3 linked regions of the Styela clava genome follow. The protein of the gene in region 3 purifies or fractionates together with the protein of the main gene of each other region. This does not show direct contact. Links are inferred from orthologs where the notes say so. Each region holds a gene or a part of one and is shown on either strand. Other genes may lie near its edges. The genes, in order: FAS-associated factor 2-like, selenoprotein S-like and derlin-2-like.

The links.
Region 1: the proteins of derlin-2-like (region 3) and FAS-associated factor 2-like purify together in Homo sapiens (affinity purification with mass spectrometry; 5 studies listed by BioGRID and IntAct, counting the BioPlex papers as one, with this or other methods). This does not show direct contact. The link is inferred for Styela clava from reciprocal best matches to the Homo sapiens genes DERL2 and FAF2.
Region 2: the proteins of derlin-2-like (region 3) and selenoprotein S-like purify together in Homo sapiens (affinity purification with western blotting; 3 studies listed by BioGRID and IntAct, with this or other methods). This does not show direct contact. The link is inferred for Styela clava from reciprocal best matches to the Homo sapiens genes DERL2 and SELENOS.

What each region holds. Positions count from the first base shown.
Region 1 is NC_135256.1:23,649,797-23,653,556, reverse strand, and holds the start of FAS-associated factor 2-like, read right to left. Parts: upstream 2,336-3,760; 5' UTR 2,190-2,335; coding exon 2,094-2,189; intron 960-2,093; coding exon 840-959; intron 736-839; coding exon 518-735; intron 36-517; coding exon 1-35. UniProt on the Homo sapiens protein: Plays an important role in endoplasmic reticulum-associated degradation (ERAD) that mediates ubiquitin-dependent degradation of misfolded endoplasmic reticulum proteins.
Region 2 is NC_135253.1:20,577,802-20,581,561, reverse strand, and holds the start of selenoprotein S-like, read right to left. Parts: upstream 2,574-3,760; 5' UTR 2,214-2,573; coding exon 2,102-2,213; intron 1,655-2,101; coding exon 1,517-1,654; intron 786-1,516; coding exon 679-785; intron 1-678. UniProt on the Homo sapiens protein: Involved in the degradation process of misfolded endoplasmic reticulum (ER) luminal proteins. Participates in the transfer of misfolded proteins from the ER to the cytosol, where they are destroyed by the proteasome in a ubiquitin-dependent manner.
Region 3 is NC_135264.1:18,503,346-18,507,105, reverse strand, and holds the start of derlin-2-like, read right to left. Parts: upstream 2,939-3,760; 5' UTR 2,789-2,938; coding exon 2,696-2,788; intron 1,892-2,695; coding exon 1,752-1,891; intron 623-1,751; coding exon 529-622; intron 217-528; coding exon 94-216; intron 1-93.

The sequences.
Region 1 (3,760 bases), on a different chromosome or scaffold from region 3:
CCCTCGTGTCAGGCAGAAAGAGACGCATAAAAAACCTGTGGTAAACAGTCAGGAGACACATGAAATATAAAGCGTAAAATTAATAAAAATTCAATAGTTATCAAATTTAAAAAAAGGATCATTATAGGGTTCTAGTTTTATTTGCCATTGTTTATTAACAAGCATTTCTTCATTCCATTTACATTTCAGGTGTTTCAAAGTTATTTTGAAATTAATAGGCCAAATGGAAGTCCAACTACATTTTTGGTGGTGAGAAATATTTTGAAGGTGTTTAGAACTGAAAGAATTGATTTCCCCTTGACAGCTATTATTCTGTTGAATAGTCTTACACACAAGGTTGCTTACAATGACATCTAAAATCAATCTTACATGACTTGTTATAGCTAAGGACTTTGGATCTCATGAATTTGAAATGCGATCGGCCTGATAAATTTTACTGTGTAATCAATTTAACAGGTAATATTCAAAAGGCTTTACACTGATAGTACTTCAGTGCAGAATTATTATGCAGAAATACCTCACAATTCCAAATAACGTTGACCATGTAAATCGGAATGGCATTGATAAAACATAATATCCCCATTCAAATATTCCTTGAGGTTGCCTCAATTGTAATCCTCTTGCTTCATACAATGTCGTATGAGAATTAGTTCTTAATGGAAGTGGTGGAGATATGGTGGCAACATTTCTTCGTCTTAAACCAGAATTTGCAGATATCGATGGTGGTAGATTTGACTAAAGAAATAAAACAGTGTTTACCAATGTTTTGAAAGGCGTAGCCAATTAATCATGTGTAATCTAAAAGATAATTATTAAAGAGGGACTTCCCACAATACAACCTGTTGAGAATTAGACATTCCTGCCTCAAGAAATGTTGACTGGACTGCACTTTCAACATTCCAATCATGTTGCCTCAAAATAGTTTTACATCTATTCAGATCGTCTATGTTGGTGATTTCCTGAAAGACGTTTTAAATACGATTTTAATATTATGACAGATTTTGGGTGAGAAATTGGTTAGGTAAAAATAGTTTGATTTGCTATAATTGCACTCAAACATGGGCATGTTAAAGTACAAAATTGGGTCTACACCTTCATTATATTACGTAAATTAGGTCAGTAGGTGAAAAACTGCTATTTATGCAGTAAAGTTCTTGCCTTAGAAACTACACAGATCATAATATCAGTGAGGTTATTATCAACACAGTCAGACGGGAAAGTAACATAACAATTCTAACGTCAAGAGAAATTAAGATCAAAAGACACAGGCAAAAATCCTATCAAAGTACTGTAATACAGAGCAATACAGCAATAGGGTCTCGCGATGTACCGTAAACGCTGTAAATCTGTAAATGTTTAAATAACGCCAAACACAAATGTGATGTAAAAATACAACCCAAATTTTCATTTTTTCCCAAACAATAATCCGATACGCTACTATAAGTATAAGTTTATTTTGACTCCATAATCAGCAATAGGCAATAGAAAAAAACAAAATAAATAAAACTGATTATAGGGTCGGGAAAGCAAACGAAACCTCAAGCAAGGTTTAAAGCGTACATATTTTGGGTGGGGAGGTATTGATAGAAGAAGTAGTACGTGTTCGCTCACCCTGTCACCTAAGAGTAGTAAACTAATTAACGCATGCATACAACGCATATACACACAAACATACAATCATCGAGACATGACAAGGTTGGGAGTGAAAAAAGCGAGACATAAAATCAATTACTCAGTACTGCAGTAAGAAGAAGAATATACAAACAAATAAAAAGAATAAATTCTTTTGCCACACCAAATTAATAATTTTATGAGTATTGTCGAATTCAGGAATTGGATACCAAATTAGTCAAAACAGCAAAAGGAGTTATGTACTGTGGATAGAAAAAATATTCCTGAAAAGATATCGTCAAGCAGATTATAATTGGAGTCACCTAATGGCAAATTGCCCAAACAGAATTGCCAAGTTGGATGCATGAAGAGGTGGGCTAGGCCTGCTTCACTCACCAGATGTATTCATAGATTAAGTTATTGTAGAATGTGAATTCATATAATTCAGTAACTGCATAGCCTATAATGATAGCAAAGCTAACCTGAAAATGAATCAGTTTTTCTGTTAATTCCTGATTCAAGTTTTCTTCATCTTCACCCCTATCATTTTCTATTACTTGCTCGTTATTGTCCGCCATACAATAATACACAGCCCTATTAGATATTTATTTCGCACCGGTACCAATCCAATCCTAGTCTAAATACTATTCAGTCCCATATATTTTCAGAAAAGAAATAATAAACTTGGCGTTCTGGTATTATAGTACTGGTACATGTACTTCTGCTGCAAGCGGTGGCTAGGTGTCGTATTTAGAAGGTTTTACCTGACTACATTTTTACGCGAATGCATATTGCAAGAATGTAGGCGCACGGAAAGTTCGGGTTCTTTTAGATCGTGGGCCTAAATCTTTTGGGATCCTGTCAAACGATTTCCAATTTACAAAATATACAGAGTTGACATCTCCAAAGTAGAGCATTTCGTCACAATTGATGATGACTTCAGAGGCGCGTATTTTGGTGGACGGGCGCGTATTTTCACGTTTTTAACTTTTCTTTAAGTTATGCCCGTCCTCCAGGTCCTATGTGTTTGTTCGTTTGTTTTTGTTTCGTTTTATACCAGAGCGACCGAAATAAAATTGATTGATTGATTGATTGATTGAGCAGGGTTGTCCAAAACGAATCGAATATTCGACTATCAAAGTATTTGAATACTTTATCTGTTTATCAGCTAATTTTAGAATAATTCCGAATAATAGCCACGATTTTTTTTACTTTGTCACGTATTTTACTGACGATGAAATAAAATCGGCATAAGATAAGATTTACCTGTTCATCCCGAAAGAGCGGGAAGCCGATAAGATGGGTTAATCATATGGAGAACCACGGTCTCTAGTCCGGTTACCAATCCGTGTCCGGTGTGGGATTAGTTAGTCAGTTATTGGACACGTTTAGTGGCCATAACGATCGTTTCAAAATTTTGTTGTTATTGTTATTTGTCTCCGTCTCCATTTTTAAAAAATCGCTTTTCTCTTCGAATACTGGACCAATTGCTTTGATATTTTCAGTGGTTAAAGATAAAATTTTTCTCCAGAAGGTTATCACTTTTTTTTCTCGCTATGACGTCATCAAAATCATTGCCACTGGGTGGCGCTACGTGTCCATATATTTGAGCATAGCTCTCTTGTTTGTTTTCAGAAGCATGAACATTGGGCATTGCCGCCATTCTCTTGCGCAGCTTCTAATTTAAGCTTTCATTTTCATTACGTCGAAAAATTAAAACTTATGTAACGCCGTATTTAATAACCAAATGTACTTACTTCTAGAAAGCCGCCAACAAGGCGTTTACTCCAGCCATTCCCGCGGCACAATATCAGTCCTGTACTTCGCGAACGAAAGTGAAATCAAAATTTAATAACATATATTGTGTACTTTCAAATGTAGAGTAGCTATAAGACACAATTTAATGAATTTCTTGAAAACGAGAGGTCAAATTAATGGGGAGTAATATTGAACACGGTGGTGGTTCACGCGTGAAATATTAGAAAATATAATTTATACTTTTTCCCCGCTTTTCGGCAAATAATTTTGATAAAAATAGGTAAAAGAATCAATTTTTACTAGGATGATTTTCTGTTACGCAAAATATTCCAATCCATGACCGATAGGCCTACTGCTAGCATTTAAAATGCTTCGTCGTATTAGTTTAATT
Region 2 (3,760 bases), on a different chromosome or scaffold from region 3:
TTTTGAGTTGTCTCAAGCAATGGGAAGTAGCAACGGAGAAGAAAACCTATTATGTTGACTTAATCATGGACTACTAAGGCCTCTCAATCAAGGAAAAAGATAAATAAATGCCAAATAAAATAAATCGAGTTTTTTCGAGCAATGGGCAGCAGTTTATTTCAAAACTCCAAAATGTTTACAAATTAAAAAGAAAGGATTCTGAAAAGAAGTCTGTTAAATCCCCATACAGGGAGGTCTCGGGTTACGACATTCGCGACTTACGCTGTTTCGAGGTTGCGAATGCGCACTCCATAATGCTGTTCCGAGGTTACAAACCATGCCATTAAAAATATAAAAAATGATACTGTACTGTACAGTATTTGCTTTTATTCATGGGATATGAAATTGTTTTCTGTATTTTTTAATAAAGCACTTTTCTGCATTATTTGTACATTTAATTACAGTACCATGCTTTACAATACAGTACGATATGTGTAGAGTAATTTATGCAATGTACAGTATAATGTTCAGACTTACACTGAAATTGGGGTTACACCGCGTCTCGAGAACGGAACAACATCGTAAGTCGTGGACTCCCTGTACTTAGAAATTGCTACTAATTCAAGCATAATTATTTGACTGGCAATATGAATCGATCATCAATATTATACTAAGGAATGAACAATAAAATTTATCCACCTCTTGCCTTCTCTCTGCCTCCCTTCTTAGAATTGCAGATGCTTTTTCCTGCATTCTTTGTCTGGCAAGTTCCATTGCTTCAGCTCTTTTAGCCAGAACTTCAGGATCTAAGTAGCAAAAAAATATTTGAAATAATTGAAGAATATAGTTTTTAATAGGGAGCTACACAACCTTCTTTGAAATATTCTATAGTCTCCATGCATGATTGTGAAATCTTTATAATATTCGGGTTTCTCAAGTAAAAAAAGGCGTCACCATAGGTCAATCGGCACAATGCATCTCAAATATAGTATCAGTAGCTACTCGTATCTCGATGGCCGCCTGTAACTTGTCTAATATGTTGTGTTTCTTTCACATTTGAGTGAGTTTGAGTGACCTCAATTAAAGAAATTTCTCTTGTAATATTCTATATCAGCGCTTCTCTGACTGCGTTCTGAGAGCTTCTTCGAAGCGTTCCGTGGAACAGGAATCGAAATTGCGACTTAATTGGTCGTCATGCCAAACTCGGTTTCATTTCGGCAACTCTGGATAGTAAATTTGCCTCCAAAAAGGCGGAAAGGGCCCTGCTATCTAAAAAGGCAGATAGGCCTAGCGCCAGTCTAAAAATCATGGAGTTTTCATTAACCATTCAATATGGTTGACTTTCTAAGAGTCAAATTAACAGCAAACATTTTAATTTCAACATAGAATAAATTATTTGAAAACTATCCATTAATTTTATTTTCTAATTTCTTGGCGTTCCGCGAGGCAAGATAAAATACGCTCCGGGGCCAAAAAAGTTTGAAAAACGCTGTTCTATATTATACAAGATCATTTTTAATATTGCAAGTCGACTTACCATTTTCCACGGGATCATTTCGTTCTTTTGCTCTTTCAATCATTTTCTTGACTTTTTTCTCAATGTTACTCCATAATATTATAAGTAGAACAGCAATTACCATGAGAGTCCATCCATATGTGGCAAGAAATGATGTTACTAAATACAAAAAGTGAAAATTATTATTTTCAAAATGATGGTACAAATTTATAAGAGGTGTTCAACACTGCTACCTCTTTAAACTATTAAAAGATTTGCCGTATTACAAACGTTTTTTGATGATGCAAATCCATGTTTTGCATATTTTGCCCAAAATATGGGGTACCAGAAATCGTCTCAGCCCTGATATAAGTGGATCAAAACTACCAACCAAGAATTATGAGACTTGTGAAAAATATGCAATAAGTCCACCTCCAAAAAATATAATTTTTGATCCATGCATTGAAAACCGTTCGACAAGGTTTCTTCTAAGTCAGACTGCTGTTTGGAATTAATTTTCATATCTGAGCAATCCACGTATAATTTAATAACTTCTTTACCTACGTTATCATACTATCATGTGGCTTTGAAGCCAACAAAATCATACTGCAACATCACATTACTCACCTGCATAGTAAGAAGCCATCATCACATTGGGATTAATATTTTTCAGATCAATTTGTTCCTCCACAAATTCATCTTCTACTTCCACAGTTGCATCCTCCACCTCAGCGGCCATTCTTAGGCCAAAAATTAATATTTATACAATATATAATTCAACTGAAAATCAAATTACACAAAATATTCAGTCAATTCATTACTAAAATCCTTCCTTAATCAAATCAGCAAAAATAATAACAATAATGATATAAGTTCAATCATGCTCATCTGGGCATCATTTTTAGGACTAAGAAAAGATTTATGCACTACATTGCGAAACAAACTAAAATTCAAATTTACACATATTACTTATTTCAACATAAAACAGTTCTAAACCAACATAAAATAAAGACAAAGTTCCATCATGCACATCACAAATCCAAAACAAGATATCCAGTACAGAGAGCGTTCATAAAGTCCGCTCATAATTTAAATAAACGGGGCTCCCGAAGTATGCGAACCAAGATGGCGGACATCGGAATGTAATATGAGTACTATGTTAGGGTTAGGCCATAATTTTAGGTATAAATACTACGGGAGGCTCTTGGCTAGTCTTCAAACTGATAATAGGACTAAAATAAGGAAAATTGGAAAAAAATTATCGCTTAACCCTAACCTGTTACCCATGTTACGTTCCGATGTCCGCCATCTTGGTTCGCATACTTCGGGAGCACCAAATAAACAAATCATATGATATCGAAAAATTCCGTTTGCATTCGAAAAAAAAATTTAGTCTTCATGAACGTACATTTTTATTTAAGGCAACAAATCTTATCTAAAATATATCCCACAAAATTGACAATATAGTTGTATAAGCTAGTTAATCTTGCATATCGAAAAAAACTCTGAATGTGGTCGTTAAAAAACTTTGCAGCGATGCAAGCAGTTTTATCACACATTTAATGACACATACATCCTGTCCCACAGAAATTGATTCATAAACATAAAACAAATTAACAATTGTTTTAAATTTAGAATATCGAAAAGGCACGCATTGACATAAATTGGTCGAAAAAAAGAAATATCAGAAAATATATTGTAATAGGAATATAATTACTAATATTTCAATTAATAACTTTTTCCAAATAAAGTATTAAGCTATCAAGAACATCAGTCTTTTTTCGATTTCATGAAACATATAATCTGCAAAGAAAAAAATGCACATACAAACGGTCTAATGCCACCAAGACAGAATTGTAAAACAAACGCAACGATGTGTGAGCAGAATAAGCAGCATTGCCAAGTCCAATTCGACTGTTCAGAATTATACTAAACAAGAAACGTACATTAGCGCATTAATAACAACAGTTTAACGCTCTGATTCTAATATTGTCTTACAACACTCTTATCCAATAGTGCTTCAAAAATGATAAGCAATAAATCTCCAATTAAAAAATGCCAATCAATCACCAGCAAACTCGACCAAATAAGGTATCAATTTAGTGCACCATCATCCTTAAAAAATTTGCTGTTAATTTTTCAATCTTTTTTACATCGTTAGCATGTTCTGTTTCATACTGCAGTCTTATTTGATCGTCTGTTACTGTGATCACAAGATTTCCGTTGCAGTGTCTGTATTTTATTGAGTATCTGACATTGAAGGGATCACTTTGATAAAGTCTTTCA
Region 3 (3,760 bases):
TTTATGACCCCGAGATCACCAAGGGGCACCAAGAACTTTGCACGTTCAGTTCAGAGGGCCTTACTTCGAGCAGATCTGTATGAAGCAACTCACCCTGAAAGTTAGGATCCCAAAGAAACTCATCCTAACATAAGGATTCCTCCGACTCCAGACATAAACCAACATTATTGTGAAAGCTTGACCAAGGAATACGAGGCTTGCAAAACATGCAATTATCTGGATGTTACATAAACAGTTAAGGATATGATAGAGCCATCTCATTCGTTTTCATTCGTTTCCATTCGTTTTCCTCCTCAAATAGACATGAAAATCATTTAGCTTCCTCCTATTATTTTATGCTCCATTTTTAGTAATAAAAAGCCACCAACAACTAAAAGTAAAAGAATTAATGCACCACGGATAAAGAATTGAACAAATCATGATCAATTTACTTTAAAGGCGGACAATGGCGGATAGTAGTTAGTGAAGCCTTCGCTCATGGTCCCGGGGATCGGTTCGCCAAACCAAACTAGATTTTTAAAAGGATACTGTCATAATAGATCCGCCCAGAATAAACATGAAAACAAAATCCCCGGTTTTTCCACGAAATGATCCTTCTTCCAACATCCTGCAATACCTGTATCTGGATAGTTAGAATGTTGTTGGTTAAGGAAAAGGTTCATCTGTGTGGATTCTTATGCCAAGTTGTTTTGTTGTACAACATCCATTAAGAAATATTTACTGGCCATGTTGGAAAGAAGAACTGAAGAGATTGTTATTGCAGTATCCTTATACCTACACATGGACTACCTCACAATTAGGCTGTTTGTAACCATAGGTCAGTCATATTTTCGGGTAATGCGCCACCATGATTCTATAGTTTGGGGGGTTCTTTGTATTTCAGTAATTGACATAACTTTGCTCAGAGACAAGTCGCAGTACCCACTCATGGTGTAATAAATTGCATAGACAATGCAAAACCAAGAATATTATGGCAATCCTGAAATTAGCAACTTCGTACATACAGTAGGATATCAGTCGTTGCTTATTTAGAGCAGGGGTGTGCAAAGTGCGACCCGCGGGCCAAATGCGGCCCGCAAGGGAAAATTGTGAGGCCCGCGGAGGCAACTGAATAGCAGTTTGAAAAATTTTAATATTAAAAGATAAAAAAGCTAAATGAGTTTTGGTTCCAGCCTATCAGTTGATGTTGTCTAAATCAAATCTAGAATAAGATTTGACAGCAAATTATTTGGAAATGAAATTTGGCGCATTTTACTGAAAACTTCTCAATCAAGTTACTTCCCACATTTGAAAAAGTCATGGCTTCGAATATGGCACTTTTCGGTAATATATTTTTGTTCTAAAATGGGCGTCGCATCGAATTGCTATCACTTCCTTAAGCAAATTTGGATAAAAGTAGTTGGGAGAAGAATCCAGCAGCAAATTTCTCACTGAATTCGTTTAAATTGGGTGCAACAATATATGTCTTTAAATTACAGTTCTAAGAACTTAACTCATTATTTCTGTAAGGACCAAGAGATCAATAACAAAAAGACACCATTTTGTGCCTGCAACTAATAGAAAGCCTGTGTGAAATGTAGGTGCGGCCCGCGGTTCGACCCGGTTATTGATATTTGGCCCGCCTTCGAAAAAGGTTGCACACCCCTGATTCAGAGCATTGTTCAGAGCAAAAGAAGTGAACAAGCATAAATAAAAAAAATATCAAAAAAACTTAACTTTACAAAACAAAAAACTCTCTTCACAAAGGATACAAAAATATCATATTAAATAAAAAATTAAATCCAAAAGTTCCGAAGAAAACAAAATTAGTGATGAGACGCCATAGTTGGTAACGTTGAAATATCAGATCAGGATTGAAATAGATTTGAAATGGTGAGATCACTTCAAGTTGCTGAAAAAAGAAAAGAATGTATTTTCAAAAAAATTAATAGGTAACAAACAGATAAATATTTACAATGACCGATAGCTTTTTTAAAACTACAAATGCTTGGGTGACCACACTCCCCATAAATACTAACGTTAAATTTTTTTTCATGTGACATTACGTTTCAGTGTGGGATGGGTCCTAATTGACCGAAGTGAGTTCAGTTGATTGTACAACAGACACTCTAAATACTGTACAGTACATTTGCATAGAAAGTTTTAAATTGGTTGGAATGGTGTGTCATTTAAATAATTTAGATAAGACTATTAAAAGAATTTTCATCGAGAATATATAATTTTATTTTCATCGTGCATGAAGCGTTGTACTATTAATTGGAAGGAAGCAATTGAAAAAAAATATGCCATACAATATTTTAACCGTAATTGCCGAAGGGAAAACAAGAAAGACTATCAAGCTATCGTGTTAGTAAACATAATGGGTGAGAAAAGCAGCAGAAGATGTCGGATGATATAACTAGTTGTTCTACAGCAGGAAATGTTGAATAATTACAATTTGAAAAATATAACTTAAACCAAGAGAGAAATAATAAAAATTTGTATCAAGAAAATCAATCAGAAAAAAAAACTGATCAAATAGGTCAGTTTAGACCAGGTGGGCAAGGTTATTGCACCATGGGCCAAAACTTATATGACCTATACCCAATTACAGACAATATTTACAGTGATGCCAAAACAAATGCAAAAAAATAAGCCTCGTGCTAAAACTGAGTTTATTCGCAATGCAATCTCAACAAATTCCTTGAGTGCTCACCACTGCTAATGTTGTGACAACGCATGCTGTCGTATAAGCTCTCGTCACCGGTGGAATCTGCATGTACTCCTGCTGAAAAGTTTGGTACGCCATCTTGAATTGGCGGCTTCAGTAAAGTATTTTCAATAACGTGAATTGTGAGGTATATTCGAGTTATATTTGAAAAGTTTTCGATATTTACAGATACCAGGTTTAAGGCTATATATTATACTGAAGTATTATCCAATCTCAGCATTTACTATAGATTCTGTAAAGGTAAATTATATCAATTATTATCTATATCTCTCTCTATATATATATATATATATGATAGAATTTACATATTTATCCCGGGGGAAAGTCGATAAGATGCCTTAATCATATCTGCATATGGCAAATTACAACTTCTGACTGTTTGGGTCGGTTACTCTCTCAGAGAGAGTGTCAGATGTCAGGATGTGTCTCAGATGCATGGACTTGGAAGACTTGATTGTGGAATAAGGATAGGATATGATTTACATATTTATCCCGGGGGGGAGAGAAAAAGGGGAACAAATTGTGACGTGTTTTGTAAGATTCATTGTAAAACCATATCATTTTAGCGACCCATACCTAATATACATTCTCTCACACTGGGACATGGACGAGCCATAAACTAACTGACTACCGGTATATTGTACATATCGTCGTTGTGTCGTATCTCCTTGTCTTGTGTATTTTACTAGAGTTTTATTTCTATAACCTATTTCATGTCTGTTGTCCTATTATAAAGTAGTAGTCCTAAAATGCTGTTATAATTGTTAGTAGGTGTGCATGTCGCACATCTGTGTCTTAGGCCAGTAAGGTCTTCAGGTCTTGAACATGTATCCGTCTCTGTTTTACTGTTTAATTATTATGCAGATACTGTTATATTTTGGAGGCATATAAACATACATACATGTTCTAAAACGTCCTAGGAATCTAAATTCTAAACCATCGGAAAACCTACGGTACCAAAAACTTATAAACTAGCCAACAACCGAGCAGGAACCACAACTGAGCGACACGTCGGACCTTTGCCAGCGAAATAAATGACGTCATAACCAC